Linked DNA regions of Lonchura striata. The protein of the gene in region 4 purifies or fractionates together with the protein of the main gene of each other region. This does not show direct contact. Links are inferred from orthologs where the notes say so. Each region holds a gene or a part of one and is shown on either strand. Other genes may lie near its edges. The genes, in order: HNRNPA2B1, HNRNPA0, DIMT1 and HNRNPU.

Region 1 (7,418 bases), on a different chromosome or scaffold from region 4:
CATTAAACAGAATAGTAATGCATTTTACAGATGTATTTAGGGTCATGATCTACCCAGAACATCTAAGCACCACACGTCAGAAAACAGCAATAACGAAATTAATTACCAGTTCTTTAATGAAAACCACTGTGCGAAAACAGCACACACGCTGCTCCACTAACACGAAATCTCTAGATGCAGATAAACTATCTGTCTCAAATGAGCCAGTCTGAAGAAGCTCTGGTTGGCCTAACACTAACCTACCAAAGTCCAGAGAGTTCTGCACATCTAAAGTTTGTGCTGAAGGTATAAAATGTACAATAACTATCATCATGCCAGTGTCTCATAGAGTCCTAAGGAAAATACTCTTTTGCTACAGACAGACACCTCATACCTAGGAAAGGCCACAATATAAAAGCTGGAGGTTAACACCTCTTTCAAGATTTCCACAGTATGGCCCGTGGCAGGAACAAAGCACTAAGGGAAATTTCTACCTCTGTAGGATCTTCATGCGTGTGTATTTTAAGCTTTACTCCACAGTCTTAAAGCAACTTGAAAGCACTGAAAAACGCATAGCCTTTACTAAAAAATTAATCACCAGAGAAAGGAAAGGTGTTTCACATAGCTGTAACGTGCGCAGACACAATCCACGCTGACAGCGGAATTAAGAACTCGGGTAACAGCAATGTTTACCGGAGACGAGCGAGGGGGAATCCCTGAACTCCAGAGCTCCGCAACCCCTCAGCGGCAGCTCGCTCGCCGCCTGTGGCGGCCGGGACGCAGCGGCCGCGCCGGCTCCACCATGTGGCGGCAGCGGGAACACCGCGGCCCCGAGCCGGGCGGGGAAAATGGCGCCCGGGAGCAGCCGCCGCCTCCAGGGACAGCGCTGCGAATTGCTGCCAGCGTACACCTACACACACGGTACTAAGGCCTCTCCAGCGCTCCTTCTCGCCCCCGTGCATACCAGACGACTACAGCTGACGCCCGCCTTGCCCACTCTGCCGGAGGGATCCCCAGTGCCTCTCGCAGACGCGAGTCCCAGCCAGGCCGCCATTTTACCCCTCCCCCTCGCCACCGCCATTACCCGCAGCGCCGCTCGGCCGCTCCGCGCCTCGGGGGGCCAAGACGGCCCCCCCAGCCCGCGGGGCTCAGACTCCCCCCGCTCCTCCGACACCTCAGCAGCAGCGCAGCTAATAGCCATGGCCACGGGCTCAAGAACGCGCTGTCCGCCATGCGCGGTTACCGCAGCTTCCGCCGCCTCGCCCGGCTGTGCGCCAGCCCCAGTCGCCGCTTCCAAAACCTTCCTCTGCGCAAAGACATCCAGCATCCGCCCCGCGCTGCGACCGGCGGCAGCGCCTGGACTTGTGCGGACGACTCAAGCTTGCTTGTAATTCTGAGTCCCGAAAAAATTCACTCTGTCTACACAAGCAAACGCGTCTCCCTCCTTAAAAGCAAGGTCTAAATCCACCCATTCCACGTACCATGTTCTTCATGGTTTATGTATTCCCGCTCGAGAGTACCGTACAACTGGTCGGTAATGGCTGCCTGAGCTGTTACGTAATTTGAAATTCAGCTCCGCGTAGTGTTAGCGCCCTCGTACTCCAGCTCGGGCTCGCTTCCGAGGTTTAATTAATTAAAAAAAAAAAAAAAAAAGAAAAAAAAAAAGAAAAAAAAAACTACAGGATCTGGAGCTTAAATATCTCCAAAGGGGCTGCAATTCTGAATAATGCCCCTACGTGTTTTTATCGTGTAATGAAAGTCATCGACTCCGTTAGTAATGGCCGTCTCCGAAATGAGCCGAAGGAGCTGTCGTCGTCGAGCTTATCCGCTTCGACAGCCGCCGGAAAAAGCCGAACCAGGAATGGAAGCCCATTCGACTCGCTTCGGTAATTTCCGGAATCTGCCGCAGCACGCGAAAATGGCGCTCGGGGCCAGCTCGGCAATTTCCGGACAGAAAGACGCAGCAAGTCACCGACTACTTCAGCCAACTCGGCAGTTTCTGACCATCGACAGGCTCGCGAGACGTGCCCGAGCGCAGCCGTAGCGGCCTCGAACGCTACTGGCACTCAATTTTGTTTGGTTTTTTTTATGGAAATTGACAAAAGGCCCCGAAGGCACAAACCTCGGCGTTATTATTAGTCGGGGGCGGCAGCGCATCGCTCCCCGAAACCTCGCCCTGGCCCCCTTCCTCCTCCGCCCAGGCAGGAGGAAGTGAAAGTTACACAGATTTTGGCACAAGTGCGATATATCGCGGGGCCCCGGCGGAGGGAGGCGGACTTCGCCGCAGCTCGCTCCGCTCTAGCCCGCACCATCGGCATCGGGCGTGCTGCCCGCTCCGCCGCGCTGTCCTCTTCTTCTCCTTCATCCCCTCCTTTTTTCCCTCTCCGGCGGCCCTACGCGCACCGCGACAAAGGGTGAGTGCTGCCGCCCCGCGCGCCAAAGAAATGGCGCTGGAGCAGCTCCTTTCTTCCCGCCCCCTCTGCTCCCCCTCCCTTTCAGCTTCACCGCGGATCCACCCGCAGCTCTCCTGGCTGCAGTGAAGGCTCCCCAGCCGACTCCCCCGACCCCTTTTCCCACTTATGAATGAGTTCTCGGGCCCCAGAGCCCCGCAGCTTCCCGAGCCCCCTTCCCTCCCCCCGCCCTTGCTCACACCCAGGCCTCCCCGCCGCAACGCGGGAAATGGCCGCCCTCCAAAGGGGGCCCCTCCAAACGAGCTTCAAACCTACGCCAGCGCTCCTCGCCTGCCCTCCCCACGCCCGGGGCCCGCCCGGCCGCCCCGATCGAGGGCCTCGCTCCGCGGCGGCGGGCAGCATCGGCCCGAAGCGCATTCGCTGCGGCCGCCATGATGGCGGCCGTGGCTCTCGGGGTCCGCCAACCCCGCCCGCTCCCCCAGGCTTACCCAGTCGCTTTCCCTGTCGCCGCGAGGCATCTTCCTTCTTTTGGACGCCTGGCGCGGTCCTGCGCTCGCCCCGCGTTGGAGAGACGTCTTGGCCCCCCTCCTGTGCCGGCGGCGACGACGGTCGGAGGTTGTAGCGGCTCGCGCGTAGGCGGCGGCGGCGTCGTGCGCTCTGCCCCGTCACAGCCGCCGGCGCGCAGAGCTCGCCCGGCCCAGCCCAGCCCAGCCCGCCACCGCCGCGCCGCTCTCCGCCCTCCGCTCCCGCCCTCCCTCTCTCGCTCCCTCCCTGCCCCCACCCCCCGCCTCAGCCCCCCGCGGATGTCGCTGTTGCTGCTGCCGCCGCCGCTCAGTGCGCGCAGGGCGGGAGCCAGGAGGAGACAGGAGACCTAAGCGGCTGGGCACCATTGAAGTCTGTATCCTTCTCTCTCTCTCTCTCTCCCTCTTTTCTTTCGCTGCAGCCGCTTCCTTTCACCCCATTCACCCTCGAGTCCCTTTCCCTGACTCCCCTTTCCTCTGCGGCTCGCTGCGGGCCGCCGCGGGGAGATGCGGAGCGCAACCCGCCCGCCTCCCCCCACCGCCGCTTCTTCCCCACCCCCGCTTCCTTGGCGGTGGGGGGTGGCGGGCGGAGCGGAGCTGTCGGGGAATCGGGGCTTCGGCACCCGCTCGGGGAGGGAGGGAGGGAGGGAGGCAGGCCGGCGCCCGGGCACGCGGGCGCTGTCGCCCCAGGGGAAGGAGAGCAGTGCCGGGGGCGGGGGCAGCGGCACCCGCGCGGCAGACAAAGCCGGCCCGCCGGCGGTCCCTACGTGTGCTCGGCCCGGGGAAGACGTGAAGGGGCGGGGGGAAGATGGCGTGGAGGGGCCCTGTCAGCGGCGGCGGAAGCGGCCCAGGCCTGCGTCCCCGTTACCTCGCCCGGGGCAGCCCCGCCGGCCTCATGTGCGCCCGCCGCAGGCCCGAGGCGCAGCAGGCCTCCGCAGGGCTGCCTCTGGTTTGTGGCGGGGGGGATTGTTGCTATTGGGTTTTGGGTTTTTTTTTTTTTACCCCTTTCTGCTGCCTCTCCGGGGGACGCAAGGCAAGACCTTCGGCACTGGCGCCCTGGCCCCGGCCCTTTTCCCACCTCGCCTAACCCACCGCCCATGCGGCTGCCAAAATCCGCCTCCCGTGTCAGGGGAGGATTGGGCGGGATTGCTGAGTCCGGAAGGCTTTCTGGCCTTAAAGGACTTTTCTGCTTTACCCAGGCATATGGGGAATTCTAGCATTTCTATAGCTCGCTGCGGGGCGGTGACAATACATGCCTATGGAGCTGGTCGGTATGAGAAATGACATGGAAAAGGGGATGGATTGTGTTCAACCTAATTTGCATAGGTTAAATATGTAGTATGTACATCTTAGCTGAGTTAATATTGTTTTAGGACCTTAACTCTTGCCAACTTGAGAATCAGAAGGCAACATTATAGTTGCATTAAGAGAAATATTTGCTGTTTATAAGAATTTGCTACCATGTAAGAATAATGGGTGATTCATTGCACCACAAATATATATATCTTCCCCATCAGATATTTACAGTTAATATACCTTAGGTATGTCTTCAATTGCTAGAATTTGAGCTCTGTTTCTATTTGGTTTAAGGAAATGAGCATCCCTGATGGTCCTCCCCCTTTTCCCTAGAAACATGTCTATGCTTTTGAAGGCCTTGGGAAAAATTTTTTTCAACCCTATATACCACCTTGTCAGTATCATTTATCCTGGCTAGCCTAATGGTGCATTACTGGGTTATGCCGGACAAAGTAGTAACCTACTTTTTGTTCTGGATTTAATCCGTGTAAGAAATGTTGTATGCAGTGAATACATGGGGGTTGGAACAAGGACCATGCTTGTCTTGGGATGCCTTTCTTTGAGTAATGCAAACTTCCTTTTAATTGTCATGCATTTTTCTAGTAAAAGCTCTGCAAGTCTGCAATAAAAATGGCCTCCAATAAAACTACATTGGTAAGTTCATGCACACCTAAAGTATATAAGGATTTAATCAACATATTTTTCTTCAAACTTATAACTTGGCATCTCCATTTAAAAGATACATCCACATCTCCCCTCCCCAGCATTATTCTGACCAAATTTCAGATCCAGAAAGTAAGGCTACTAGAAAGGACATTGTCTTTGGTTTTAATAAATCTGCCATTTCTAAAGAGAAACGTGTTGAGAAAAAAGTATGAAAGGACTCTGCACTATTTCATCTATTCTACAATAGAAAATACTGAGGATTTTTTTTAGCCTCCTTTCAGCATACCATGTAATTCATCATACATGTAAAAAATAAAGTCTAAATCATGTATTCACTTAATTTCTCCCAGTGTATTTGGAGAAAAATATTTGCCTGACAAAAGGCAATCTTTACAGATGGAAAGTAACATTATTGAGAAATGATGTGGCATAATTAAGATGCCTTTTGAAATGCTTTTTAACAAATAACAGTTTCTTTGAATTTCATAGGAGCAGAGATTATCAGATGTCAACCCTTCCTGGACCATTTTAATGATGCATTCATGGATCTCAAGTCCTCTAAAGCTTTGCTTGACATTAAAATATGGACTTCCAATGGCAGTTGGTTGCTGGTTGCAGTTCAACTAATACTGATACATAGTTTCATGAAAGACAGACCTGTAGAAGTATATTGTGAGATGTATCTGAGATTGAGATGGGGAAGCAAGCCAAAATATATGTGCACAATTCAAAACTCCAGCAGCAGAACAGCTGGTTTATAATAGTCTCGAAAGGCCTGTTCTTAAATTTACAGAAATGTTTACTCAGTTCAAAATATATTCAAAACTTTTATTAACTCCTGGCTTAGAAGTGCAACGGAGTGCTTCCTCTGTGTTGTACTGGTTTAAAATATTTCACCGAGATGAATGTCTAAACTTTCTGTTAGTAATTGATTGTCCACTTATCCCTAATTTGAAGAAGAGAAGAAGTTAGCCAGCCTGGGAAAGGGTGCTTTGGAGAGAGGAAAAAAATCTTTTGAATGTGGTATTTTTAATCTTTTGATGTTATTGAGAATTTTGCTGTACAGGTCAGGAAAATCAGTTATGGTTCCCATGGGAACCATAACTAATTCTGCTTAGTTATATATTTGCATGCAAAACCTAAATATGTTAAGGGGTAGGGTAGCTCTAGAGCTGTAATTCCAATTTTCTTACATCTTGTATGTTAAAATTTTACACCACAGTGTCACATCAGTGTTTTAACCTTGCCCCTCAACGAAAGAGTGTTTATCCATAGATCTACATCTGTCATATGTGGTGTCATATGACTCCTGAATGCAGAAAGAGAAGCAAGCTATACATGAGCCTTCAATGGTCAAATGTCCAATTTACAGTTTACAATGTGCAGCCCTAGAGAGGAGAGCTTCAGGGGTCAAGTGGACATTTAGTATGCTTTAAGTTCAGTCAGGTGTCACAATTCACTTGTGGGCTGAGATTTGCATGGGCTTGTATAATCCCAGAATGTACAGGTTTTTAACATGTTCAGTATTTCTGCAGGCTCTGCAATCAAGTGTTATCCTAATAGGCTCAAGAGTTTGAAGAGCAGTGCTGATGCACAAGACCTAATAAATCTCTAACATTTAAAACAGAAGCAGCATACTTTTTATTTTGCTATTTCTTACTGCACTTCAAGAAAAAAATACAGACCCCCCCCCCCCATGATACTCATTTTCCTCTGTGGAAGATACTTAAGATACTTAAGTTTTAGAAAGTAAAAAAAAAATTGTTGCTTTGATACAGAAATCCAAAACATTGATCTTTAAGTGACAAGAATTAGTGAAGCCGAAAAGAGTACCAGAAAACAGTCTTCCATTGAATCAAAGAATTTTAGTCCAACGGAGAATACAGATGGAGATGTTCCCCACATGTAGCCTGCTTGCCTCATCACCAGTAATTATAATGTTATTACTATGGTATAGTGAGTCTGTCTTTTTCTGTGTTGTCGTTTTTCCCTCTGCTACTTTTATTGTTTGTTTATTTTCCTCATATCTACCCCTTTCTATTTCACACTTCCATTTTTTGAAAGAAGCTGCCCTCATAGAAGCCTTGGACATCTTCATGTTGTATTTCCCTTCAATATCAGTCTTGTATTCTTTTTCCTGTAGAGGCAAAAAAAGCCAATATGCTTAAGTTAACACTTTTCAGACATGAATGCTGTGGTCAAAATACACCTGGGATATGCAGGCACTTAAAATCTAATTGGAAATACATGCTCTGTTCTCTCTTCTATGCTGTCAAATCAAAAACATGATGGCCATGTGAGATATATACAGAAACTTGCTATTTAAATGAGAAACTAAAAACTTTTTCTCATATGTGTTGTTTGAACCTTCAATTTATGGGTTGCTAACCATAAAGAGTAAAGTATTTTGGGGAGGGAGGGAATAATTAATTATGAAAAATAAGGGGTACAGAGACAGGGCTTTGGCAAGAGAATCATCTTCCAGTCTTCACTAAAAGAAGACAGTTTTTGTTCTAACATACATTTTTTTTTACCTTTCACCACA
Region 2 (8,006 bases), on a different chromosome or scaffold from region 4:
ATGGTAACTTAAATCCAAAGAAAAGGATGCAAATTCAATTCTCTGATGGCTTTCCACTTCACCCTTCACAAAGGTGTGTTTCTTTCTTCAGCAAACTCCCCTTAGAAGGGGCCCAGGGAAGATTTTGTTTAACAGATAAACTTTGATACTACTTACTGAAGAAATAGTACCTGTGGGTTATTCTGTTACCTTTTTATCTATAGGTTATCTTCTTTTGCATTAAGCAAATACAAGAGAGGGGTCGTGTTTTATTCCCCATCTGAATTTACACAAGGTAGAGATTTTTATCCTGAGGAGTATTATGTTCAGACTTTAGGGAGGTAAAAGTCTATCTAGTTGCCTCTCACTATTTTTAAATCTTTTTCAACAAAAAACCCTCTCCTGATCAGTACTAGTTCATGAAAGTCTCCTAAGTAAGATCACAGGTTTGAGGTTTATGCAGATGAAAGTGCAAACAGCAGAACAGAGTGAAAGAGAAACTTTGGCCAAAAAAGCAGGAGATCTCTCAAGGACAGCTGTACCCTTTTCAGAAGTTTTTGCACCTGTAACTAAAGCAAGGTGCCAGGCTGGGAATGCTTGTGGTGCTGCTGTTTTTTTACACAACATGCTCCCTATGAACCACACAATTACACTCTGCCTGAGGTGTTGATTTGGGTAGGACTGAGCCTTCCAAAAGTCTAATAATATCTCATTGAAAGGATGTAAATAAAAATCTTTGCTTCTGTGTGTATCTCAGAGTGATGTGGGAAATTATAGTTGGATCCCTTGTATTCCCAACTGTTCCCATCTATTCACAGTTAGAAAAATCTGGGTGAAATGTGTGTGTAGCTAAGGTGATGTTATTACAATTTTCAATGTGAATGCAGAATTCAGCAGTCCGCATGAAATTTCAAAATGCTTTCTGTCTGCTGAAAGGTCAAACTAAATCTAAGTCTAGAGCATTGTACTATACAAAAAAATACTTAAACTCATTAAAAATTGTGATGTACATAAATTGCTTAAGAAAATAATCGATGCCTGCCAAGAGTGGAAGCCACAGATGTAACTAAAGATGTTGAAACTAGTTAAAAAGATATGACTTTGTGTTTATATGAGGGTTTAGATAAAACATTTATAACTTAATAACTACTTCTGAATTCATGATGTTTTTCCATTGCCCTTCATGCTCTTTTCCAAAACTTAATTATTAATTTTCAGTCTTGGCAGTTTGGACCCATTAAATAGCATGACAAAGTTATGTTTCTTGAATGACAAAATGGATATAAAAAATTCCTTAATAGTTTATTTTGCATCAGCTTTTACTAAGAATATATGGTAACACAGGAAGTCGTGTTGGAAAGGGACTGCTCAGACTTCTGGTTTTCAATCTCTTAAGCAGCAATGCCCTCCTGTGGACTCTGGCTAGAACGATTTCTTCTGAATAACCAGAAAGGTGTATGCATGAACATGATTTGGTTTTCCTTCTTCCTAACGCACTAATTAAAATGTCCCATTAAGATATTTGATTTAATTGGCATTATTTGGCTAATGTGTCTGATTTGAGAAACACATCTTCTTTTGGTAATGATACAGGTGGAGCTGAAAAAGCACCTAACTTTAGAAACTTTGGCTGCTGATTTTTTTTTTATTCTATAGGTTGCTAGTAGAGCTGAAAAAAATGTCATGCTGCAATTGCCTTGTTGGAAAGTGAAAAGTGTGTATTCCTATTGCATTATACTTTCCTAAGAATTTTTATATCCATAGGATGGTATTATGCATTTACTAGTTTACAGGAAGAAGCAGTTTAAAAATTCTGTGGGGAAGCTGCTGTGGCAGCTGGAGTGTTTCTGGTTTACATCTCACACACGGGAGACTCATCTTTGGTTCTGCACTCACACTGTGGCAGCACCTGTGTCTCGTTGGCTCATGTAGCTTGAAGGAAAAGCTCATTTCAGGAGCAGAGAAAGGCACCTTTCCTGGGAATGTGTGTGCCAAGTGATTTGCTGCACAGCTCGGGTGACTGGTGCCTCAGCAGGCGTGAATCCAACAGTGACTGGAGAGGTCCGGTTGGAGCCTCCGAGGATGACCTGGGAGGAAGGAAGGTCTCTGGGGGCTGCAGGAGAAGCTGATGTGCATCCCAGAGCCTGGGGCTGTGTCAGGGCACATGGACGTGTGCAGGAGAAGCTGATGTGCATCCCAGAGCCCGGGGCTGTGTCAGGGCACATGGACGTGTGCAGGAGAAGCTGATGTGCATCCCAGAGCCCGGGGATGTGCCAGGGCACAAGGATGTGTGCAGGAGAAGCTGATGTGCATCCCAGAGCCTGGGGCTGTGTCAGGGCACATGGATGTGTGCAGGAGAAGCTGATGTGCATCCCAGAGCCCGGGGCTGTGTCAGGGCACATGGACGTGTGCAGGCTCTCAGCCCTGCCAGGGCAGGGACTGAACTCAGAGCAGGCTTTGAGCGGAGGTGTGAATGAACAACACGAGCTCACTCCAGCAGCTGGGAAAGGTGGGGACACCGGGCCAAGTGCAGTTTGGCCTTTGTGCATTTTCAGAGGAGACATTTCCACCTGCATGACATGGGTATGTGTGTCTTAAAGGTGTTTTCCTTTCATTAATCAACCAGCTAGAAGTGTAAATGAAGAGGAAGAATTTGGGCTACACCTGAATTGAGTCAGTGGCTGATTTTTCCTACTGATTTATTCACACCTTAAGGACCCTCATCTCCTCGTGATGCAAGCTGCAGCTTTTTTCTTTGATCTGTTCCTTGGCTTACTTGTCTGGCTTTCAGGGAGAGAAAGTGTGGTGTAAACAAACTTTGATTTGTTATCTGTTGAGGTCATAATTAGCTCATCTTAATTTTTCATCCTTTTTGCTCTAAATTACTATAGGTCTACAAAACTCCCATGGATTATTTTCCACATGACACATACTAATTTATCTTGTGAAGGGCCATACAGATCTTACAATAACTAGTAGGCAAAATAGTTTTGTATTTCCTGTAATTTATGTGCAGCTTGCAGACAGCCTCTGGGAAGATTTTTATTTAATACAGTAGGATATGTTTGTTTATTTTAAAACCAGAGATATTTCAGTGGCATTATGGGATATTCTTTTTCTTAAACTATATAAAGTGATGGTGTCAGTTCATGCATTGAGATAAATGGATCTAAAGCCATGACAACTTTCCTTGTGATTGTCAAACATAGTTATTTAATAAGTTACTCTTACTATAGACTTGGCTATAGCATAAAAAAATCCAATCTGAGTAAAATCAGATTACTGTACTGCAAGTATCAATGCTACAGGTTAATGAGGATCATAGCCTGTGAGACAAAAGCATGTTCAGCCTCTCTGGAGTTCCTCTGGGGCTGTGGTTAACCAACCTTCCAGCACGGTCAGTGTTCTTCTTGTGTCTGTGTCTCCAAGGGAGCATTTCCAATTGATCATCATCAGGGGGATGCTGCAGTTCTGCTTCCTCCCTCCTGCCAGCACCAGCAGATCATGCAAAAAATGTTTCAGAAAGCTGAGGCAGCTGAAAACCAGTTCCTTTGTCATGATAAAACCATTTATGACTGTCTCAGTTCTCTTATGTGGATGCTGTGTGTTTGCAGAAGCATCAAGGTTGGCACATGGGAAAAGGCAGGATCAGTTCAGGGAACTGTGGAACTACATCCTGACAGTGCCTAATGCAGAACAACAGTCATTCTTAGCTCCCGCTTAATTTTAACATAAACCCTAGTGACTGTAAGACCAAAAAAAGAATCTTTCTAATGAAAAATTCACTTAAGTTGAAAGTAATGCTGCAGTCTTCATGACAGCAATGTTTAATGCACTATCAAAGTAAGAGGGGAAAAAAAAGGAAAATTGTCTCACTATTTGTCATTCCACAGGGCTTGCACACTCTTGAACAGCTCTAATAATTTCGCTGAGAAAATACCTCATTTTCAGAGCTAAGGAGAGATCTAAGGGTGCGTAGGCTGTGATAGGGTTGGAAAGAGAAAGCAGGGGAGGAAACAGTAGCAGGAATAGTGAGAAGGAATCACAAAAATGTGTAAGTTGGACAAGCCCTTCAAGATGATCGACTCGAACCCTTCCTGCGGCACTGCCAAAGCCACCGCTGAACCGTGACCCCAAGCGCGACATCCGCGCTGTCTTTTAAACCCTCCAGAGATGCGACTCCACCTGGCAGCTTGCTTTCGGTGAAGAATTCTTCCCTGATATCCAACTAAACCTTCTCTGTCACACCCGGAGGCCGCTCCTCGCATCCCGTGCGCTGGGAGCGGTTACCAAGGCGAAGGCGGCACGAAGGAGGGAAGCGCCATCGCTGCGGGGAGCGGAGGGCGGGCGAGGGCCGAGCCCAGGGCCGCAGCCGGGCCGTGCCCGCCGGGTGCCGCCGGCAGCGTCCGTACCCACGGGGCGCGGCCAAGGGGCGGGCCGGGCTCCGCTTCACGGGAGCGCGAGGCAACGGCACAAACAGAAGCACGGCGAGTTCCACGTGAACGCGAGGGAGAACTTTAGAGCGCAGAGTGCTGGCAGGCCGGGATGCGGGGTGTGGCTCGCCGGGGCTCTCCCGTCCCGGGGCCGGGGCCGCGCTCTGAGGGCGGCCCGAGCCCCGCGCGCCCAACGGTCCCCGCCGTTCAAACGCTCCCGCGCGCCCCGCCCCCCGAGGGGCGGGGCCAACGGAGAGGGAGCGCGCGCCGGGACGCGGGCGGCGTCCCATTGGCTGCCGGCCGCGGGCCCGGCGCATTGACGTACTGCCCCGCCCCTCCGCCCGGCGCGCGCCGAACGCGTCCCGCGTTCCTATTGGCTGCCCGCCGCGTCCGTCCCCGGCGAACCTCGGGACTTTTGCGGAGGTCGCGCCCTTTCATTGGTTGCCGCACACGTCCATCGCGGCCTAAGCCACGCCCCTTAGGCGTGAGTGGCGGGCGCCGCCGGCGCGTCGCTCTCATTGGCTGCGGCGGCGGCGGAGGCCGGCCCGGGGGGCGGGGCTCCCGGCGGCCCCTTTGTGTGGGCACCAGTCGCCGGCCGCGCTCCCGAGAAGCCGCTGCCGCCATTTTGTGCGCGCCTGTGTTCGCGCCCACCCCCGCCCGCCTTCCCGGGGCAGCGGCGGCACCGGGGACGCCCCGACTGTGCTGCCGGTCAGGTGAGGCGGAGCGGAGGCGCCGGGCCGCGCCGAGCGAGCTACCGCCGGCGGCCGCCGCAGCCGCGAAGAGGTCGCGTTGCTCGCAGGGGAAAGAAGCGGCAAGACGGAGCAGGGGGGGAAAAAACCTCCGGAGCTGCCCCCGAACAGGAGGAGGAGTTTCGGCGCCAGGCCCAGGCGCGGCACCGGAGGCAGCATGGAGAACTCGCAGCTGTGCAAGCTGTTCATCGGCGGGCTGAACGTGCAGACCACGGAGGCCGGGCTGCGGGAGCACTTCGCGGCCTACGGCACCCTCACCGACTGCGTGGTCGTGCTCAACCCGCAGACCAAGCGCTCCCGGTGCTTCGGCTTCGTCACCTACTCGGCGGTGGAGGAGGCGGACGCCGCCATGGCCGCGTCGCCCCACGCGGTGGACGGGAATGCGGTGGAGCTGAAGCGGGCCGTGTCCCGGGAGGACTCGGCCAAGCCCGGCGCTCACGCCAAGGTGAAGAAGCTCTTCGTGGGCGGCCTCAAAGGGGACGTGGGCGAAGGGGACCTGGTGCAGCACTTCAGCCAGTTCGGCCCCGTGGAGAAGGCCGAGATCATCGCCGACAAACAGAGCGGGAAAAAGCGCGGCTTCGGTTTCGTCTACTTCCAGAACCACGACGCGGCCGATAAGGCGGCCGTGGTCAAGTTCCACCCGATCCAGGGCCACCGAGTGGAGGTCAAGAAGGCCGTGCCCAAGGAGGACATCCAGGCGGGCGGGGGGGGCGGCGGCTCTTCCAGGCCCTCCCGGGGAGGCAGAGGAGGAAGGGGCCGGGGCGGCGGCGGCTCCGGCAACCGGGATCACAACGGGCTTTCCAAAGGAGGCGGCGGCTACAACAGCTACGGCGGCTACGGCGGGGGAGGAGGCGGCGGGTACGGCTCCTATGGCAGCGGTTCCTACGGAGGCGGCGGCGGAGGGGGAGGCGGAGACTACGGCAACGGGTACGGCGGGTTCGGCAGCTACAGCCAGCACCAGTCCTCCTACGGCCCCATGAAGAGCGGCGGAGGAGGTGGAGGAGGGGGCGGCAGCTGGGGGGGCCGCAGTAACAGTGGACCGTACAGAGGAGGCTATGGTGGGGGAGGCTACGGGGGCGGCTCTTTCTGAGCTGGAGCGCTCATACCCATTGATGGGGGGGCGTGGAGAGCCCTCCCTTCGATACGGGGCAGCTTCTAAATGGTTTCTCCCCTCATTCGCCGAAGGGCAGCTCCTTTTAAATGCCTCCCTTCCGTGGGAGCGGCTCCTAAATGCCCCCTGAGGGTCGCCTCTGCTGCCTGTGCCACTTCTTTCTCTCTGAAGATGGACTGGGCCCCACATACACATATTTTGTGTTACAGTCATTGATGGACTCTATTTTTTTATTATTACTTGGACCTTGGTCGTTTTTATACTAGCAACGAAAAATGTCTTGTTTTAATTTGTTTTTTGGGGGGTGCGGGGTGGGAAGTGTCTTGCTGATCTGGAGTAAAAACCGGGGAGGCTGGGGGGAAGTTCCTTTGTTGTAAGGACTCGATGCCTGGATACTACGTTTTTTTCTACAAAAGCTACTCGGATCCCATGACTGACTTTTAACATTTCTGTAAAGGAGGAAAAAATGGTTTTTACGTTTTTTATTTTTTAAATAAATCATTGTGTTCATTGACCTTTATACGTCTAATTCTTTTTCCTAGGATCAATTCCGCACGGTTTTAAGGCTTTTCTAGGTTTGAAGCAAGTGTTCCTCTGCTTTAAAATCTCAGTGTACTTAGAGTAGTAAATATTTTGTTGCCAGTAAAGGTCCTAACTGACTTTTTTGCTAGTGGCTTTCAAACACTCGACAGAGAAATTTTTGAAGTACTAATCCGTGGATGTGTTCTGTTTTTTAAATACTCGTTCTCACTTTGGCAGTTTGTGTGCATCCACCATCTTGTACTAGACAGTTTGACGTGCTGACATGGTTGGTCAGTTTTTTCTGTAGGACTTTTCCATCAACGTATGTATTGTGTAGTTTTGAAGAAATAGTTTGTGTTAAGCATGTGCTTCATTCATATAAAATGTTCAGAATTTCTTATTGCTTAGTTTTCAAGTCCTTGGTTTGTCTCTGTGTGATTCCTTCCAGGAAAGGGTCGACATTTATCCCTTCTATTAAAGGCATACTTGTTTTCCTAGCCCCGGGTTAACAGATTTCACTCGGAACTATTGTTCTTCCTGAAAGTTCCCTGAGAACTCTGGCAGCTCCATCTGCTGTCAGGATGGCAGCCCCGTGCTGTGGGCTTCCTTAAAGCAGGAGTAAAACTGGCTTGCTGACAATTGTACCAACCTTTGGAAAGTTATTTTTATGCCACTAGATGACTGGTGTAGAATACAGTGACATCTGCACGTGAATAAAGATGGGGTCCCTGACTACTGATTGGGTGGGGGTGGAAAAAGGAATGGATTTGCAATACCTGCCTCAGCACGTAATTTAACAAATAATAATTGCAGTTGACCATATTTCAGAAAGTGGTGATCTAAACTGGGCAAAGAGCTCTGAGAAGTGAGCCAGCAAGTGTACAAGTAACATAGGTGCCAGTTGTAAAGCAAAGATATCTGTGTAGTCTGCTTGATTTAAAAAATGTATATTTGTAGCCCTTTCACGCAATAGAATTAAAGTTTGTTGTTTATTAAAAAGCATAATGTTTTAGGGGAAAACTGCCTTCCTGCATAGAAATATAGATTAGCAACGTTTATGGGTTTATGGATATCAAATAAAAGATTTGAATTCCTTATATGCTTGAGTGAGAGTATATATGATGTGGGGCATGCATTTAAAAAGTACAAAGTTATTTTGACTTCAGGTTTCTAAGCTCTTGGAATGCTGATGTTTTGTGGGACTGCATCATA
Region 3 (8,249 bases), on a different chromosome or scaffold from region 4:
TCACCAACAGAATTTCTATGGAGAGCTTATTCTCTGCATGCCCCCTGTAAAGACAATTGACTCAGGAAAGGCACCAGCTCCTCTTAGTGGGATCTGCTCAAAATACAGTTTTAATTACTGCCATGTACAAATGCACACGTGAAAGTTATTCCTGCAGACAGACACAGCTGCACCTTGGGAGTTTAAACCCAGATTTCTCCAATCTTAGTTTGTTGTGATAACCTCACACTGCCCTCATTCTTTTTCAACTGATGAACCAGGGCTCTTCAGACCCTAATTTATACAGAGGATATACGGATATACTTAACCCCACAGAACTGCAAAGGCTGTGAATATTGGCTCTAATAGTATGAGACAGAGACAATCCTCACCTCTGACATATCTGACTTCACCTGTTGCACGGGAAAGGCAAAAGGGACATAGGTTACCCCACAGATTGGTTAAATCACAGGGACAAGGACTTTCTCCATAGTTTATGGGACTTCTACAGCTTTACTCACTATTGAGCTATACCTACAAGACTGTCCTAGAGATGAAACTCAGAAGGTATTAAATAGCTATTGTCTTTTGGGTACTTTCAGAGACATGAGCACCTATGGAAATTTTGGCAGAGTCTATCAAACTTATAAGCAACACATTCTTAGAAGGAAGTCAAGGTCTGCCTTTCTGTCACAGCAGCCAGAATTTCCAGGTTTGATTACTTGAGTAAAAGCGTTATTTCTATTTTTACTTACTAGCATCAGTCTGTGTCTTCACAATAAACACTGAGCAGTATCAGGTATGTTTGTTGTCTTCTGCTTTTCTGTGGTCTACACCCATTGCTATAACAACCAGATTGCACACAAACATTTTGGAAGAAGGAAAAGAAATTCCTTTCACTAGAAAGTGTTAAATGTGGTCAGCTGCAAACCCAAGCATGACTCTTACTGCCATGCCTGAATTTTGTCTTGCAAAAGGGAAAAGAGACTATCCATATCCCACATGAAAAAGATGCTCTCCAAGATCCCACTGGATATAACACTATTGAACTTGACAATAGCCTATCCTCAAGTCTCAGCTGGCAGGAAAAAAACCAAGCAGTTACACCTAGAATAAAAAACAAAACATCAAATCCTACCCCTTAGCATAATGAGTGTCTTCAGAGATCACAAATACCAGTAACAGTTCCTCATCATTATAATCTAATGTCCTATACTTCCATTCTCACTTTTAGACACCTTAATCTCCTTTAAGAGGCAAAGTCTTACTCCTCTTCTATTCTTTACTCTTTAATTCCCTTTCTGAGGAGGTATCTGCAAACACATTTTACCTTTCAAGACTATTCCAAGTGTTCGAATTTTATACTAGCCATGCCAGTTTAATGTTTTTCCTTAACAGGCTTCTCATACGACAAAAAGGTATCTAGGTACTTTTCCCCTCACATTAAAATACATCCTAATTTTAAAATCACATCAGCTATAAAAAGAAATTGGTAACTGCTAAACATCTGAAGAGGTACAAAACAAAGGATTTCATCACTAAACACCTCCCTACTTCACTTTTTCTGAGGAATGCAGTGTAACAGCTCACTAACATCCAGACAATTAATTCTGTGTATTTTTGTTCTCTTTCGTAAAGAATTCAATTTTTTCCTAGTATAAGAACGTGCAAGAACAGATTCAGTCAAGATTTCACAAAATCAGAAGAAGAAAAAGCCATAAACACATTGCACAAAATACAGTGTGCTCTCACGGATCATAGTGCAAATACATTCTGGGCTACTTCAAGAGCACAAGTGGCTCTGTGGATGTTGTTATCCTTCTTTACCCAGTGTCTGAGACGGCTTCTAGGACCCTGCTTCCAGCTTGGTTCTCTCCTCAGCTCAACAGGCAACAAACCGGAGAGAGGCCAGAGCTACTAGGATAGTCTGTGGTCTAAAGCAAATTATCTATGAGGAGGTAATGCTTAATGTTGTTTATGACCGTGGAACCTGAGGAAGACTTTGCAGACACCTAAACTAATTCCCTGCAGAGTGCTTACAAAGAGGACTTGCTGCTTCTTATCAGCAGATTATACAACTAATGAAAAACTATAAAGCTACATCCTGCAGTTCAGAAGGTTCAAGTAGGAAACTGTGACTTTTACAGCACATTTGTTTCAAGGAAAAGACGAAAAACAACGTTTCCATGCTGAAAGGCCACAAGAACTCCTGAAATAACTAACGAATTCTGGCATTCAGTCACACAGATATGATACATTAGCAAAGACACTGTCACCTTCAGGAAAAGTTGGTTTTACACTGGTTTCTCTCCAGCCTTCTACAAACTCCTCCATTAATCTCTTTTCTAGCATTGCAGGATCTGCATCAATTATGCCACATGCTCATAATCCTACTAAGGACTGGACCCAACAGAACTAAAACTATCCTGGTTATTGAAGGTACTACTTAAACTCATTAGTAACTACAGCAATCACCAAATCCAACACAATGACTAATGTTAAACATTCCTAATTTTTTTCAAAACCTACATATTAATTTTTTATTTATGTAATTAAAGCAAGCTATCTAAAGTTTGCCCAATTTAAGCCACAGTAAAGAAGGCAAAAATGTCTGAGCAGGAAAGAGTCAGAGATGTTTTCTTCCCATGCTGCTAACAACAGAAATACAGGAGTGGAATTTACAAGATTTCATTTTTACAAAAATTTAATACTGAAACTAAAAGCTAGGTCTGAAAAAAGCATGAAAAAGACACGAAGGATAAATAAATTAAAAACAGTGAGGACCATAGTAACAAAGGATAGCAACAAGTAAGGCTGACAACAATGTTACAGAAGGTCAATCAAAATTTATCAAAAATTCTGAGAAGAATGAACTCTGATATTAGACAGTAACCACCAAAGTGACCAAAAATTCCTAACAGAAAAAACAGGGAGTAAAGAAATGACTGAGACAATTCTGAGGATTAACTCAAAAATGACTGTCACAGGTTTCAGTACTGATGACATAGGAAAAGACAAATTGATACAGAGACAATGTAAGAATATTTTTGAAGTTTAATCGTAAGTTTCTAGGATGAGCAATAGTACAAGGTCAATCATATTCCTTTGACTTCTTCCTAATTTACCTAATTTAATGGATTTTCAAAAAGACCTGACAGACCACTTAAGAACAAACTAGTGCCAAACAGCTGAGATGGAAATGCCTGTTTCAGTCAGCCCTCATGTTCTGGAACAGGTTTCATTTTAACTACAGTTAACTCCCACTTCTGATGATAACATTTCAAAATGTTATACAGAAAGCATGGGTGACAAAAACCTTCCTTTTATCATTTATGGACATGACAGTAAATGTCCTTGATGAGAACAGTACGCTGAAAGAATGAGAGAAGAAAAACAGAGAGCAGTGACAAATTTGGTGCTGCCATGAAGTTTGATGAAACCAAACTCCATAAGGAACATGTGTTTTACAAAAATTCAGGTATAACTTGTATACTATGAATATAATTTGAATTTGGCAGTGTTTTACTGATGTGCTCTTTGGGCTAATTTAAAAGCCATGTCAGATATGTCACAGACATGACTTCATGTATGAGACATGGGAAGCAAAGCACATGGGAGCATAAGTGGGAAGCAGCCATCACCATTGCACTTAGGGTCTTGTTCTTGTATTTTACACACACTGCTGTCTTCTATGGTAACAAATTGGAGAAGTAACTCACCACTGCTGCACTGAGCCTGCCTCTGATTAAGGGAAGATTCTGCTCTGCAGAAAAACTGCTGTTCTTCAGCCTGCAGGAAGAAAACAACCACCTGGAATGAAGGCCACTACGCACCCCTTCCCGCAAAAAACAAGTTCTCTCAGGTTAATGCCTCATTATCCTCCCATGCTTTCCATGAATTCCAGCCTGACTAAAAACTGTTTCAAGAAGAAAGCGGGAAACCGTTCCCTGGAATTAGGTAACAGCTATTTACTTCCAGCTCCGAGCAGGCCCTTTGCCGTGGCCAGTACCATAGGTAAAAGAGGCCTAGCTGCCTTAATGCCGGTACCGTGGCGGTCAATCCACGCCGGAGTCCCGCCGGCTCGGGCACTGCAGACGGGGGCACAGCCGGCGGAGCAGCAGCCGGAGCGAGTGCGTAGGAGCAGCGCCGCCCGCAGCGACACAGCCGCGGGGCTCCGCGCCCCGAGCGCGGTCCCGCTGGAAGCCGCCGGCGCCTTCCCCCCTCACCGCGTCCCGCCCGGCCTCCCACGAACCGGGACCAGCGCGCGCCGCCGCGGCACCACCGCCTCCCGGCGCGCGGCACTGACGTCACTGCCCCGCGCCGCCCGCGCCGCCGCCAGCTGCGGGGCGGGGCAGGGCCTCGCCTGCGTGGTGCTCGCGCCAGAACGTAACGCTGAGGATGTGTATGAGAACGTAAATTAAAAAAATTCAGACAGGATTAAAAAAAGGAATACACTTTATTGGCGTGGCAGCTGCTGGGAATGACTGCACCGGCACTGCTCCGGCCGTGAGCGGATGGGCGCTTTGCGCAGAGACGGGGTTAAAGCGCCGCGTTATCTTATCGGCAGAAACTGATGAGGGTCGCCCTGAAAAATCCAGCCTTCCCTTCCCTTCCCTTCCCTTCCCTTCCCTTCCCTTCCCTTCCCTTCCCTTCCCTTCCCTTCCCTTCCCTTCCCTTCCCTTCCCTTCCCTTCCCCCCTTTTTTTTCTTCCTCTCTTTTCTCTCTCTGCCCCTCTTTCATTCATCTCTCATTTTCTCTTTCCCTTTCCACCCTACCGTTTTAATCGAAAACCCACTGCCCTGTGCTTACGGACTAGGTCGGGGTACTGGACACACCCACTTTTAGGCCGCGTGTCATTTACCAATAAACCCTGGGAAGCTTTTGTGGACCCGCTGACACTGTCCCTTGGGACTCGGGGCTGCTCCGTCCCCCGAGGGTGGGAGGCCCGAGGCCGCGCTCGTGCGGTCCGCCGGCGCGCCAGGGGGCGCTGCCCGCCGCCGGCCGCGCGCGGGGCCGCCGCCAGCTCCGGTGCCGCGCGGCACGTGCGGCCGAGCGGGGCCGAGCCGGGCCGAGCCGAGCTGAGCTGAGACGGGCCGGGCCGGGCTGAGACGGGCCGGGCCGAGCCGAGCCGAGCTGAGACGGGCCGGGCCGGGCCGAGCCGAGCTGAGACGGGCCGAGCCGGGCTGAGCCGAGCCGAGCTGAGACGGGCCGGGCCGAGCCGAGCCGAGCTGAGACGGGCCGGGCCGGGCCGAGCTGACTGCTGCCATGCCCAAGGCGCGGGCCGGGAAGCGGCCCCAGCGCCGGGAAGGCGGCGCCGGCGGTGAGTGCGGAGCGGAGCGGGCCGGCAGGATCCCGGGAGCCCGCGCCGAGCGGGGGCCTGTGGGGAGCGCGGCTGCTCACGGTAACACGCCCGTCTCTTCCCCAGGCATCCTGTTCAACACCGGGGCCGGGCAGCACATCCTGAAGAACCCTCTCGTGGTGAACAGCATCATCGATAAGGTGGGAGCCGGGCCGTGCCGCCTGCTGCGGGCGGGGTGCCTGCGTGTTGGCGCTGCTCCGGACGTGGCTGCTCGCCGGCTGTTCACGCGTGGCCAGCGAGGCGCCATAAATCGGTGCCACGGCATTCTGGTTCTCCCCGTTTCCCACTCGTTACTTTCTAAACGACTCTCACGCTCCCTTGATACCCAGTTCCAACTTATTACTGTGTCAAAAGCGCTTACTTTAATTTTAAAGTCAAATGATTGCACGAAATTGGTTCTACGGAAGCACTCAAAATGCTGTTTGTCCTTAGGCTGCCCTGCGCCGAACAGATGTCATTCTGGAAGTGGGCCCGGGAACTGGAAACCTGACAGTAAAGATGCTGGAGAAGGTCAAAAAAGTAAGTACAAATTCTCTTTCATACACCCCTTTCCCAAGCTCTGACTGTGCTTTGGCTTAGAGTATGGCAAATAGAAGGGTCTTCATAGGCATGATGAACATACGTAGAATTACTCCACTGATACTTTTCTTAACATATGAATAGTCCCGATGGGTTTTTAGCTGATCACATAAATTTTGTGTGGTTTTGTCAAACTACAGTGCTATAATCCATTTATGTGGTAAAGCTTCCTTGTATTTGAGAGGGAGGAAGGTACATAGCCTAACATTGGAAGGATTCTTTGAACCCATAACAACAGATACAGGGCTGGGATTTTTACAATTAAATTCCAGTTAGGAGATGCATGGAGTTTTAAATATATAATTTTTTTTTAGGTTATTGCTTGTGAAATTGACCCTAGACTTGTTGGTGAGCTTCAGAAGAGAGTCCAGGGCACGTAAGTATCAATTATGGGAAACAGGAAGCACTAAAGCAGTGGTGCTGCTTTGGTACAAATTTTGGCAACAGTGCTTATCTGAGTATAACCACAATGTATCTTTTCCCCCAGGTGTCTAGCAAACAAACTTGAAATCAAGGTTGGTGACATCTTGAAAACAGATTTACCATTCTTTGATGCATGTGTCGCTAACTTGCCTTACCAGGTATGGGACAAGCAACATAGCAGGCAACACCATAAACAAAATTACTTTTAAATGCTCATTTCCCAGAAATTATACTAACATTATTAATTTTTTTTTCTCAGATTTCTTCACCTTTTGTTTTCAAGTTATTGCTTCATAGACCCTTTTTCAGGTATGTGGAAGAATAGAGCTCTGTGTTACCTGAGAGGAAAGAAAATAGTTTTAAAAATGTTTTCAAATCCAGTATTTTTTTAGTTCCTGAGGTACAAGTGTGATGGACCAGAGCTGTACCAATTTTTTTCTGTAATACATAGTCTAACAGTGCCTGGAAATTAAGTTTATGTTGATATATTGAGCATGAGGAGAAAATTTAAAGTTGGCAACAGTGAGTGCCCAGCAGATAAAAACAGGAGTTACATCTCCTTAGTATTACAACTAAGTATTATTCCAAGGATAAGCAGGGCATAATAGCATTTCAAATACCTTCCTGGCTAAGGGTGAAAGGGTAGAATCAATGCCAAATCACTTTCTTGTTGTCTGATGTAAAAATGTAACCATCTTGTCTGTGTGTCAGACATCAGTATGTCAGCAGCTCTTGATTTCTCTCAGAGGAACATTGGTAACATTACCGGTCAGTTTTTGGAAAGCTTGGGTTTGAAGGACTCAGCAGAGAGTTACTCAAAATTATTTATTACAGTCAGGCAACTCTGAGACTAGATAGTCTCTTTGATCCTGATCCATCTAGCAGTAAATAATCAAATTATGTAACAGCTTTAAGGAGACTTGGATGGCTTCACCAAGTTTTGTGATGGGTTTTGGGTTTTTTTTCAACATGCTAATCAAGGCAAAGTTGTTTATTACGAACATTTACTCTTCTAATTGCTGAGGCAAACTGTATGTTTTCCAAGTGTGTTCATTTGGCTTCTGACATAAAAATGGAACACTTAGAATTGATTTTCTCATTTCTGTTACTCTCAGGTGTGCAATCCTTATGTTTCAAAGGGAATTTGCACTTCGTTTGGTTGCAAAACCAGGAAGCAAACTGTACTGCAGACTCTCTATTAATACTCAGTTATTAGCTCGAGTGGACCATCTGATGAAGGTAGGTCACTGCCTTTAGGTAACTCAGCTATGAAACACAGAAGAGTGTTGCAAGGGATGTGAGGAGTTTGCTGCTTATTCACACAGCTGCTTGACTGCTCTTAACTAACAGGTTGGAAAGAACAACTTCAAGCCTCCTCCCAAAGTCGAATCCAGTGTTGTCAGAATAGAGCCAAAGAACCCACCACCACCTATCAACTTCCAGGTGAGCAGTGTATACTCAACGTAACGTTAGTGATAATTTCATATTTCTTCCCAGTTACTATTCAGTTCTATGTGCTGATTCTAGTACAAACTACCAGCTATTTATTCATTGGAGCTTCCAAAATGGCTTTTCCTCTCTTGATCAGGCTTGTTAGACCATTAACACAACATGCCACCACCAGCTGGGGGCAGCTTTGTCAAGTACAGTATCTCTTATAAGACTAAGATCAGCTGGAGAACTGCTAGTAGTAATGTCCCTTTGGTCATGGTTTATGGCTCCCAGAGATGTTTCTGGCTGATAATTTTGCAGGTTTTGATCAGAGAAATATATGAGATTTATCTTCAGGTGAGTGTGTTTAATCACCGAAGACAAATGTTACAGAAGAGTATTCTTAATTCTTAAAACACTTCAAGACCATTTCAGCCTTGCCCAAGGTTAGCCAGATTTTCTTCGTGTCTGCCTTCTC
Region 4 (7,614 bases):
TGGAGTTAAGTATTTTCTTATTAATTAGTTCATATATAGGACTTGAGACGTGTAGTAAATAAACTTCTGTATGGCTCTGAATAAAGCCAAAATGAATCCTGGTTTTAATGTTGGAGAATGCAACCTTTTTTCCCAAGGCCAGGTTTAAAAACTGTGAGTCATTGAATGCTCTGAAGTGAGAAACTGTTTCTCAGAAACTCATGGGCTTGGGTTTTGGATTTTTTGTTAAGCAAAAAATTTACTCCTTGGAAATGGGAAAAGGGGGATTCTTTTTGGTATGGGGTCAGTGAGGTTGACAAACACAGGTTGTGGCTGATATGTTCTGTCTCAGTGTAGCTTTGTAGTGCTTCCTTCTGCTTGGTGAGATTTCTCAACTACATCATCCAGCATACAGGAAAATCTAAATAGCATTAGTCTCTTAAAAAGGACTTGTTTACTGACAAGTGACAGCTCACCTGGGGGCCCAAAGAGTGCTACGGCAGAGAGTGTCGTAAGACAAAGATGCTTCTGAGGAGAACTAGCTAACCAAACCAGTGCCAGAAAGCTGAATTTAAGTCCCTCGAACCCTGGCAGATCTACTTGTAATTAGACACTAACCACCCCTTAGGTCCTGAGGATGCTTTCAGACCTAACTAATCTGGTTACTGTGCAATTAATAGGCCTTATTTTGGCATATGACCACCTGATTTCTGAGATGAACTGAACTCCTTTGATATTGAAATATCATGGAGAGATTATAGATAGTACAAGGCAAGGTCAATCTAGTTCAGCATCCTGACTCTGATGGTGAGCAGTAGTACACGTCAGGAAAAAAGAAAGAGGAGCACAGTGCTATTTCTCAAAAACAAACTCCTGGCCTCCTGGCAGACAGATCCTTAGACCCTCCTATGGAAATAAATAAATAGGGGCTAAGAAATCATCAGACCTGCCCATTAGTCATGCAACCTCACTTGATACAAATCAGCATTTTAAAAATGCCTGAAAATTTCTCATTGGGTCTAGTAATGATTAATGAGTATGAAAAGGGAGAAAGAAAAAGACTCGCTCCACATACTGCCTGCTATCATAAAAGGCATCAGAGTATTTCAATAATGATATTCTCTTTTAAAGTAATGGTGTGTTGAATGTGGAAATCTGAAGGCAATATTAATTGAGGGTAGATGGATTAAGGACATGCAGAAGAGACGAGCAACATACTGTGATGGTCAGATGTAGGGTAAAGCACAACAAGAGGAGCCAGAACAGGACAGACAAGGCTCTAAGAGAGTAGAACAGGGAAACACAAATGCCCGGGCTCTCCTGCAGCACTGAAGATGTGTGGAAAGGTTCAAAGCCCAGGTGGGATTGAACTCTTCTGGTAGTTCAATGCCCTCCTTAAAGCTTGCTCTTCTTTATGTTACCTCTTTGTCACTGCTCTTGGTAAACAAAAAGAGGAGAGAGATTTGGAAGGACTAAGGGTGAATAATGGAAAGGACATTATAGGTGAGTAGAGCAACTAATTGAAGTCTAAAGGAAAACAAACAAAAATCAGGGAAACCAGAGTAACTGATCTGTTGAAGAGCCAAGTCCCAGAGGATCTGGAAATTACTTTTGAGAGGGAAGACTGGTTTGGAGAGGAAAACAGTTTAGCTTAGGAAGTAACACAGGTAGGAGAAAAATACTATATGATTGATAAAAAGTGCATAGGGTTGTATCTTTTATACATGGAGGCATGTCACTTTTCATTTAAATGGAAAGAAAGCTTATTTTTCAATATATTTTGAGACCAAAAAAAGCCATTTTAATAGAGAAATATTGTGGTTACTAGCAATTTTTGTTTTTCATATGGCCATCACTATACAAGTAGCAGCTTTGCACATTAAAGCTTAAAGTGCTTTTCTTTAGTGCTATCCTGTTTCAGGAGGTTGCATTACCAAACACTCATTTTTGATATGGCTGGCATCTATCTATCTGCATATTCTGTGAAAGGCAGAGTTGAAGTATCCACTCAGTATCTGACCTAAGAGAGGGTATGGCAATGAGGAGAGCATACATCCTGAACTTATTTTTCTCCTTCAAAGTATAAATAAGGGAAAGGCAAACTCTTGAAACACAGGACTCAAAGAGGACAGGGGAGTATTTTGAGAGATTTTTCCCAGGGACCGAATATGTTATTTAACTTACATATGGAAAAAACTTTTTTTTTTTAACACTGAGAGGCAGTCATTAAAGTTACACATCTGTTTCAGTTATGTGTGTGTTTTATTTACTTAGCTTAATGATTATTTACAACTATTTATTTATTACTTACAATTGAATCACCTGACATCTGAAAATCAACTGGGATACCTCACTTCTGCAATAACAGGTAACATAACTGTAGTCTGAAAAGTCTTGCTATACCTGTTTGGTAGTGTAATTAAGTGAGTGGTTAGATAGTAAGCATTACCCTTAATGTGATGTTATGAGTTAATCTCCTTTAAAAATAATAAACTTATCCTTCTAAGTGGTTTAATAAATAGACAGCTGTAGTAACTTGTAAAAAATGCATCAAGTTAATAGTGCTAAATTTGAAAGGGAGGAGGGGAGGAGAAATTATTTTTACTTTATCTACTTGTGCCTTTATATACAGGCTTCGATGCTTTAGGGTAAGGAATCTCTCCATGTGCCTCAAAGCTGTTAGTTGTTTTGTTTCTCCATGGTAACAGGAGTATAAAACAGTATGAGCATGTTACTGAAGCAGGGAGACATGACGTTGTTTAGGAGTGGGACTACATGTAATGACTGCTGCTCTCAGGTGATTCTGATTGAGGATATTTTCTAGTACAGAGGCACTGTCAATATGTGCAAATGTGCTCATTAAGGCAAGGCTTAGGGATACATAGCTGGCCTAAAAGAATCTATCAATCCATAAAGTTTGCAGTGGTGGGAGGCATTATCAGACATCGGGTTGATTAAACTCTTCCAGGAAGATGACTCAACATGTGAAAAGCCCTGTGCAAGATCAGGGTCTAAACATAGGGCTCTGTCTAGGGTTCAGATAATACAATTCATAAGGAGTTATTGATGTATTTTCTGTTTAAATGACATCCAAATTAATGCAGAATTATCTGTAAGTTTCAGACAGTAACCTTGCAATATTAAGTAGTTTAATTTTGTTGTCACTTTGGCAGAACAGTATACATTAGGACTCCTTCAGCAGACTAGCTAAGATTGTTCTTTTATGAAGAAATGGACAAAGGCAATGATTTAGAGTGGTACAGCTTAATCACAGACTGATCTCTCCTTTGCATTGATGTACTCTTAGTCTTTTCTTCTGCTATTGAGGTGACTCTGGCTTACTGGACTGAAATAAAATCTACTAACTTGACCTTAAAATAAGGGGAAGATTCTGGTAACTAACTTTTTTCTCATCTGTACATATTGCACCTCTTCCTGAATCTCTTCCAACAAGCTATTGTGTAGTGCTGTGTTCTGCTAACCTTGCTGACCGAGTTGTCTCCACGTAGCTATAGACTGACTGAGGACAGAGCGGTGTGAGTGGACAGTGTGTGAAAGCACCCTTTCCTTGCACACTTAAAACAGGATGACTTCCTTGACTCTCCTCCCTTCTTCTGGGGCAGGTAAACGTAATTTGCTCTGGTTCAGGAGGCCACGCAATCTGTACCAACACAAGGCAAATTCGTGGTAAACACACTCCCTTTTGTTGCTCTTCATACTGATCCTCTGGTGATTTGACTTGTATTCCTTTTCCTGCAATTGAAAATTAGCTTTTTATCCGGGTTCCCTAAGGAAGCCGACTTGCAGATCCGTGCTACCATTCTGTTTGTATGAAATCCTCTCCACTCTTTGTTTTCATGTTACTTTTGAGCGAATTGGAAAAATCCAAAATTAAACGACTGTACAACGTGAGCGGCTGTGGAGAGCCCCATATGAACGCTGTGCAGAGGGAGAGGCAGGGGGGAGAAAAGAGGGAAAGCTGCGCAGTTTTGGTGAGCAGATTAGCCCTGTGCCGAGCTCCAGATTAGTTCATGCCTTTGTTACCGCCGGCTCCGGTCACGGCTCAGCCCCGCGCCTGCCTCCCGGTGCTGCGGGCACGGGGTAGCCCCGCTCCTGCCCTTATGTAACTGCTGTAGCAGGCCTGTGCCAGGGGAACTATTTGGAGCAGCAGTGTCCCTTTTTAAAGCCTGTAAGCAATAAACCGTGCGAGACTAGGCCCGACCAGGGCGCAGGGGAGCCAGCGGAATCGGGACAAGGCTCTGCGAGGCTGTGGCTGGAACGCGGGCCCCTCGTGGGGGGCATTTCGGTCGGGCTGTGGCCTCACGCGGGCGGGAGCCGGCACGGGGGTGGTTCTCAGCCCGGAGCGGGTTCATCGTGCCGGAGCGGTGTTACAGCCGATCCGCCACCGCCAAGGGACCCGCCGGGACAAGGGCGGCGGGGCATGCAGCGCTCGGGCGGTATTTACGGTAATGCGGTCGTTACGGTAGCGCGGGAGGGCCTACGTGCGCGGGGGCGGGACGGCGCGCGCGGCGCCGGTGCGTGCGCGGCCCCGTGAGGCGCGTCTCCCTCGCGAGCTCGCGGTGAAAGGATTTGGCGCCAGGCGGGTCCGGCTCCGCAGCTCCCGCAGCCGCACGAACCCCCCGCGCCTCCCGCCCGCACCCACCGCCCGCCGGGGCACCGACACACCGCAGGCAGAGCCAGAGCCGCCCGTCTGTCCCTGCTCGCCGCCGCCCGCGCGCCGCCCAGGGACCGAGCCGCCACTGCTGCCGCCGCCATGAGCTGCTCTCCCGTGAACGTAAAGAAGCTGAAGGTGTCGGAGCTGAAAGAGGAGCTGAAAAAGCGGCGCCTCTCCGACAAGGGCCTCAAGGCTGAGCTCATGGAGCGGCTCCAGGCCGCGCTAGATCAGGAGGAGGCCGGCGGGGGCGGCCCCGCCAGCGGCGCGGCCGAGCCCGGCAACGGCAGCGTGGAGGGGGAGGCGGCCGAGAGCGGCGGGGGCGCCGCGCAGCTCCGCCAGGGGGGGGGCCCCGGCCAGGCCGCGGCCTCCGCCATGGAGGACGACGACGAGGAAGGGCTGGAGGCCGCCGATGGCGACGCCATGGAGTTGGGCGAGGAGAACGGCGAGCGGGCAGGGGCCGGGGGCGGCCCCATGGAGGAGGAGGCGGGCGGCGAGGAGGAGGAGGAAGAGGAGGAGGATGATGAGAACGGCGACGACCAGGGTTTTCAAGAGGGGGAGGACGAGTTGGCCGACGAGGAGGAGGCCGCGGCCGGGGACGCCAACGGCCACGGTGACCAGCAGCCGCCGCAGCCCCAGCAGCCGCAGCAGCCCCCTCCGCTCCTCCCGCCGCGCGGCGCCGCTGCCGCCAAGGAGGCTCCCGGCAAGAGCGCTGGGGGCGCCTCGGGGCCCGCCGCTGCCTCTGGCCCGGCGGGCCCCGCCAAGCAGCAGCAGCAGCAGAAGAAAGCGGAAGGCGGCGGCGGAGGCGGCCGCCCCGGGGCGCAGGGCGTCGGGGGTGAGTGAGCGAGGCGGCGGGAAGCGGGGTGGGGGCCATTAATCCCATCCCCCCGCCATGACGGGGGTTGTTGGGCCGGGGGGGGTTGGGGGCGGCGGTTTCCGGGGCGCGCGCGGGAGGACGTTGGCGGCCCCGCGCCTCGTGCTGGCCCGGCGGGGGAGGGGCGGGGAGGAGGGGCGGCGGAGGGGCCGCTGGGGCGCGCTGTGCATTGTGCGCCCGCAGCGCGGGGCGCCTGACGTCACTTCCGGGCTGGGCGCCGCCGCCGCTCGGGATGGCGCTGGGAAGGCCTGGCGGTACAATGGAGGCGGGAGGAGGAATCCCTTCCCTGGGGCTGCCGCCCGCGGCCCGCCGGGAGGAGGCGCAGTCGTGCGGATCGCACGGTGCCCTTGCGAGAGGCTGGCAGTGACCCGCTGCCTCCGTGGTGGGCGGGTGGTGATGGTGTTGCGGGTCTGGAGGCGCGGTGGCTCAGGAGATTTTTTTGGTTTTTTTTAATCATTTTGGTGGGGATTTCTTTTTTTTTTTTTTTTTTTCGGGGCTGTTTCAATGGGGCTCATAACATTGAGGGCCGTACTCGCTGCTGTGTGGTGTATTGGCGACTTCCGTATGCTAAATAATTTCTGATTGGCGACAAGTTTTGAGTCTTCCCGTGAAAATTCAACATACAGGGCTTTACCTTAGTAACATAGTAAAATGCCCTTTTAAGATGTTACTGCTTATCTTATGCTGTAGCTTGCTGCAGCTTGCAAAGTTGAAGCCATGATATAGATTCTAATCCAAATTAAACTAATCAAAATAAATCATTGCTTCTGTTCTAGGAGATGGTAAAACAGAGCAAAAGCCTGGTGAGAAGAAGAGGGGAGTGAAGAGACCACGTGAAGACCATGGCCGGGGATACTTTGAATACATTGAGGAAAACAAGTACAGCAGGTAAACAGAATTGGTACTGGGCACATTTTGTGATGAGGAGGCATAGAGTACAGAAATGTTATTTTAGCTTAGTGAAAATACGTGTAACTTATTCTGTTTTGTTTGGTTTTGTTTTTTCAGGGCCAAGTCTCCTCAACCACCTGTTGAAGAAGAAGATGAACATTTTGATGACACAGTGGTTTGTCTTGATACTTGTGAGTAAACATGCTTTCCTTTACCCTGGAAAGATGTGGTGTTGAGGCTTTTACTCTTAATGCCACGCTTTCTGAGACGGGGAGGATAACATTTGTTGATTTTCATTACCAGGTAACTTTTTTAAAAAAATTAGAAAAATACTCTGTTTCCACCCATTTTCAGCAAAGAAAACAACAGAAGGACCTGAGTATGTTAGCAGTAATAAACTTGGTTTTCTTTCAATTCTGTAGTGATAGACAGTTCTGTGAAGAAATCTTAACCAAAACACTAATCTGGTATGGAAGTTTAGGTGAGTAAGTGTAGAGTGCACATAGAACACTCTGGAGACAGGTTGATGAAACAGCTGTCCAGCACTGTTGCCCAGAAAGCTCAGAGAGTAGCATAAGTGTTTACAAAGCACAGTTTGGGAAGTGAGCTTCCTGCATACATTCCCTTATTTAGATACTGACTAGTGGAGTGTTTCTTCTGTCTTCTGATCAATTTAACAAAATCTAGTAATGCTTCCTCAGAAATGAGCCATTCATGTAACGTGTGAATGTGTGGCTTTGCGTGGTGGTTTGTGCAAGTGGGATGGCAGAGAGACTTAGTCTACAGAGCATATAAATGGAGAACTATCTGCAAACAGGGTTGTTTTTGAGGCAGATTATAAACATTATTACTGTAACATTATTATGGCAGAGTTGACATTTGTATTCTTGAGGGTAAGTATAAGGACTCAGTGCAATATTAGAAAACTTGATCTTGAAGTAATGCTTGAACTCGTTGGATTCTTACAGTGCCATGGAAGGGAAGCTTAACTTTTGGCATTGTCTGGCATACTTCTTAGAAGTTTCAGGTGGTTTTATTCCACAATAAATGGTTTGAAATGGAAGGCGGTATTACTTTACAGTCACGTAAATTGCCGGATATGCCATCCCTGACATTTTGCTAAGTCTCAAGTTTCTAGCTGCTAACCTGGTGAGTAGCCACTTCTGTGGGAGCTTTGGATTTTTCCAATAGCTGAGTA

Evidence for each region.
Region 1: the proteins of HNRNPU (region 4) and HNRNPA2B1 purify together in Homo sapiens (affinity purification with mass spectrometry; 4 studies listed by BioGRID and IntAct, with this or other methods). This does not show direct contact. The link is inferred for Lonchura striata from reciprocal best matches to the Homo sapiens genes HNRNPU and HNRNPA2B1.
Region 2: the proteins of HNRNPU (region 4) and HNRNPA0 purify together in Homo sapiens (affinity purification with mass spectrometry; 3 studies listed by BioGRID and IntAct, with this or other methods). This does not show direct contact. The link is inferred for Lonchura striata from reciprocal best matches to the Homo sapiens genes HNRNPU and HNRNPA0.
Region 3: the proteins of HNRNPU (region 4) and DIMT1 purify together in Homo sapiens (affinity purification with mass spectrometry; 3 studies listed by BioGRID and IntAct, with this or other methods). This does not show direct contact. The link is inferred for Lonchura striata from reciprocal best matches to the Homo sapiens genes HNRNPU and DIMT1.

The regions. Positions count from the first base shown.
Region 1 is NC_134603.1:123,909,100-123,916,517, reverse strand, and holds the start of HNRNPA2B1 (heterogeneous nuclear ribonucleoproteins A2/B1), read right to left. Parts: upstream 3,098-7,418; 5' UTR 2,909-3,097; coding exon 2,879-2,908; intron 1,794-2,878; exon of another isoform or gene 1,473-1,793; coding exon of another isoform or gene 1,461-1,472; intron 1-1,460. Other genes in the region: CBX3 (chromobox protein homolog 3), read left to right, coding at 6,760-6,801. UniProt on the Homo sapiens protein: Heterogeneous nuclear ribonucleoprotein (hnRNP) that associates with nascent pre-mRNAs, packaging them into hnRNP particles.
Region 2 is NC_134617.1:7,823,247-7,831,252, forward strand, and holds the start of HNRNPA0 (heterogeneous nuclear ribonucleoprotein A0), read left to right. Parts: upstream 1-4,993; 5' UTR 4,994-5,318; coding exon 5,319-6,251; 3' UTR 6,252-8,006. UniProt on the Homo sapiens protein: mRNA-binding component of ribonucleosomes. Specifically binds AU-rich element (ARE)-containing mRNAs. Involved in post-transcriptional regulation of cytokines mRNAs.
Region 3 is NC_134642.1:29,175,576-29,183,824, forward strand, and holds the start of DIMT1 (dimethyladenosine transferase), read left to right. Parts: upstream 1-5,148; 5' UTR 5,149-5,244; coding exon 5,245-5,478; intron 5,479-5,770; coding exon 5,771-5,857; intron 5,858-6,231; coding exon 6,232-6,293; intron 6,294-6,404; coding exon 6,405-6,498; intron 6,499-6,599; coding exon 6,600-6,649; intron 6,650-7,455; coding exon 7,456-7,579; intron 7,580-7,690; coding exon 7,691-7,783; intron 7,784-8,249. UniProt on the Homo sapiens protein: Specifically dimethylates two adjacent adenosines in the loop of a conserved hairpin near the 3'-end of 18S rRNA in the 40S particle.
Region 4 is NC_134605.1:31,754,144-31,761,757, reverse strand, and holds the start of HNRNPU (heterogeneous nuclear ribonucleoprotein U), read left to right. Parts: upstream 1-4,515; 5' UTR 4,516-4,753; coding exon 4,754-5,486; intron 5,487-6,301; coding exon 6,302-6,413; intron 6,414-6,533; coding exon 6,534-6,607; intron 6,608-7,614. UniProt on the Homo sapiens protein: DNA- and RNA-binding protein involved in several cellular processes such as nuclear chromatin organization, telomere-length regulation, transcription, mRNA alternative splicing and stability, Xist-mediated transcriptional silencing and mitotic cell progression.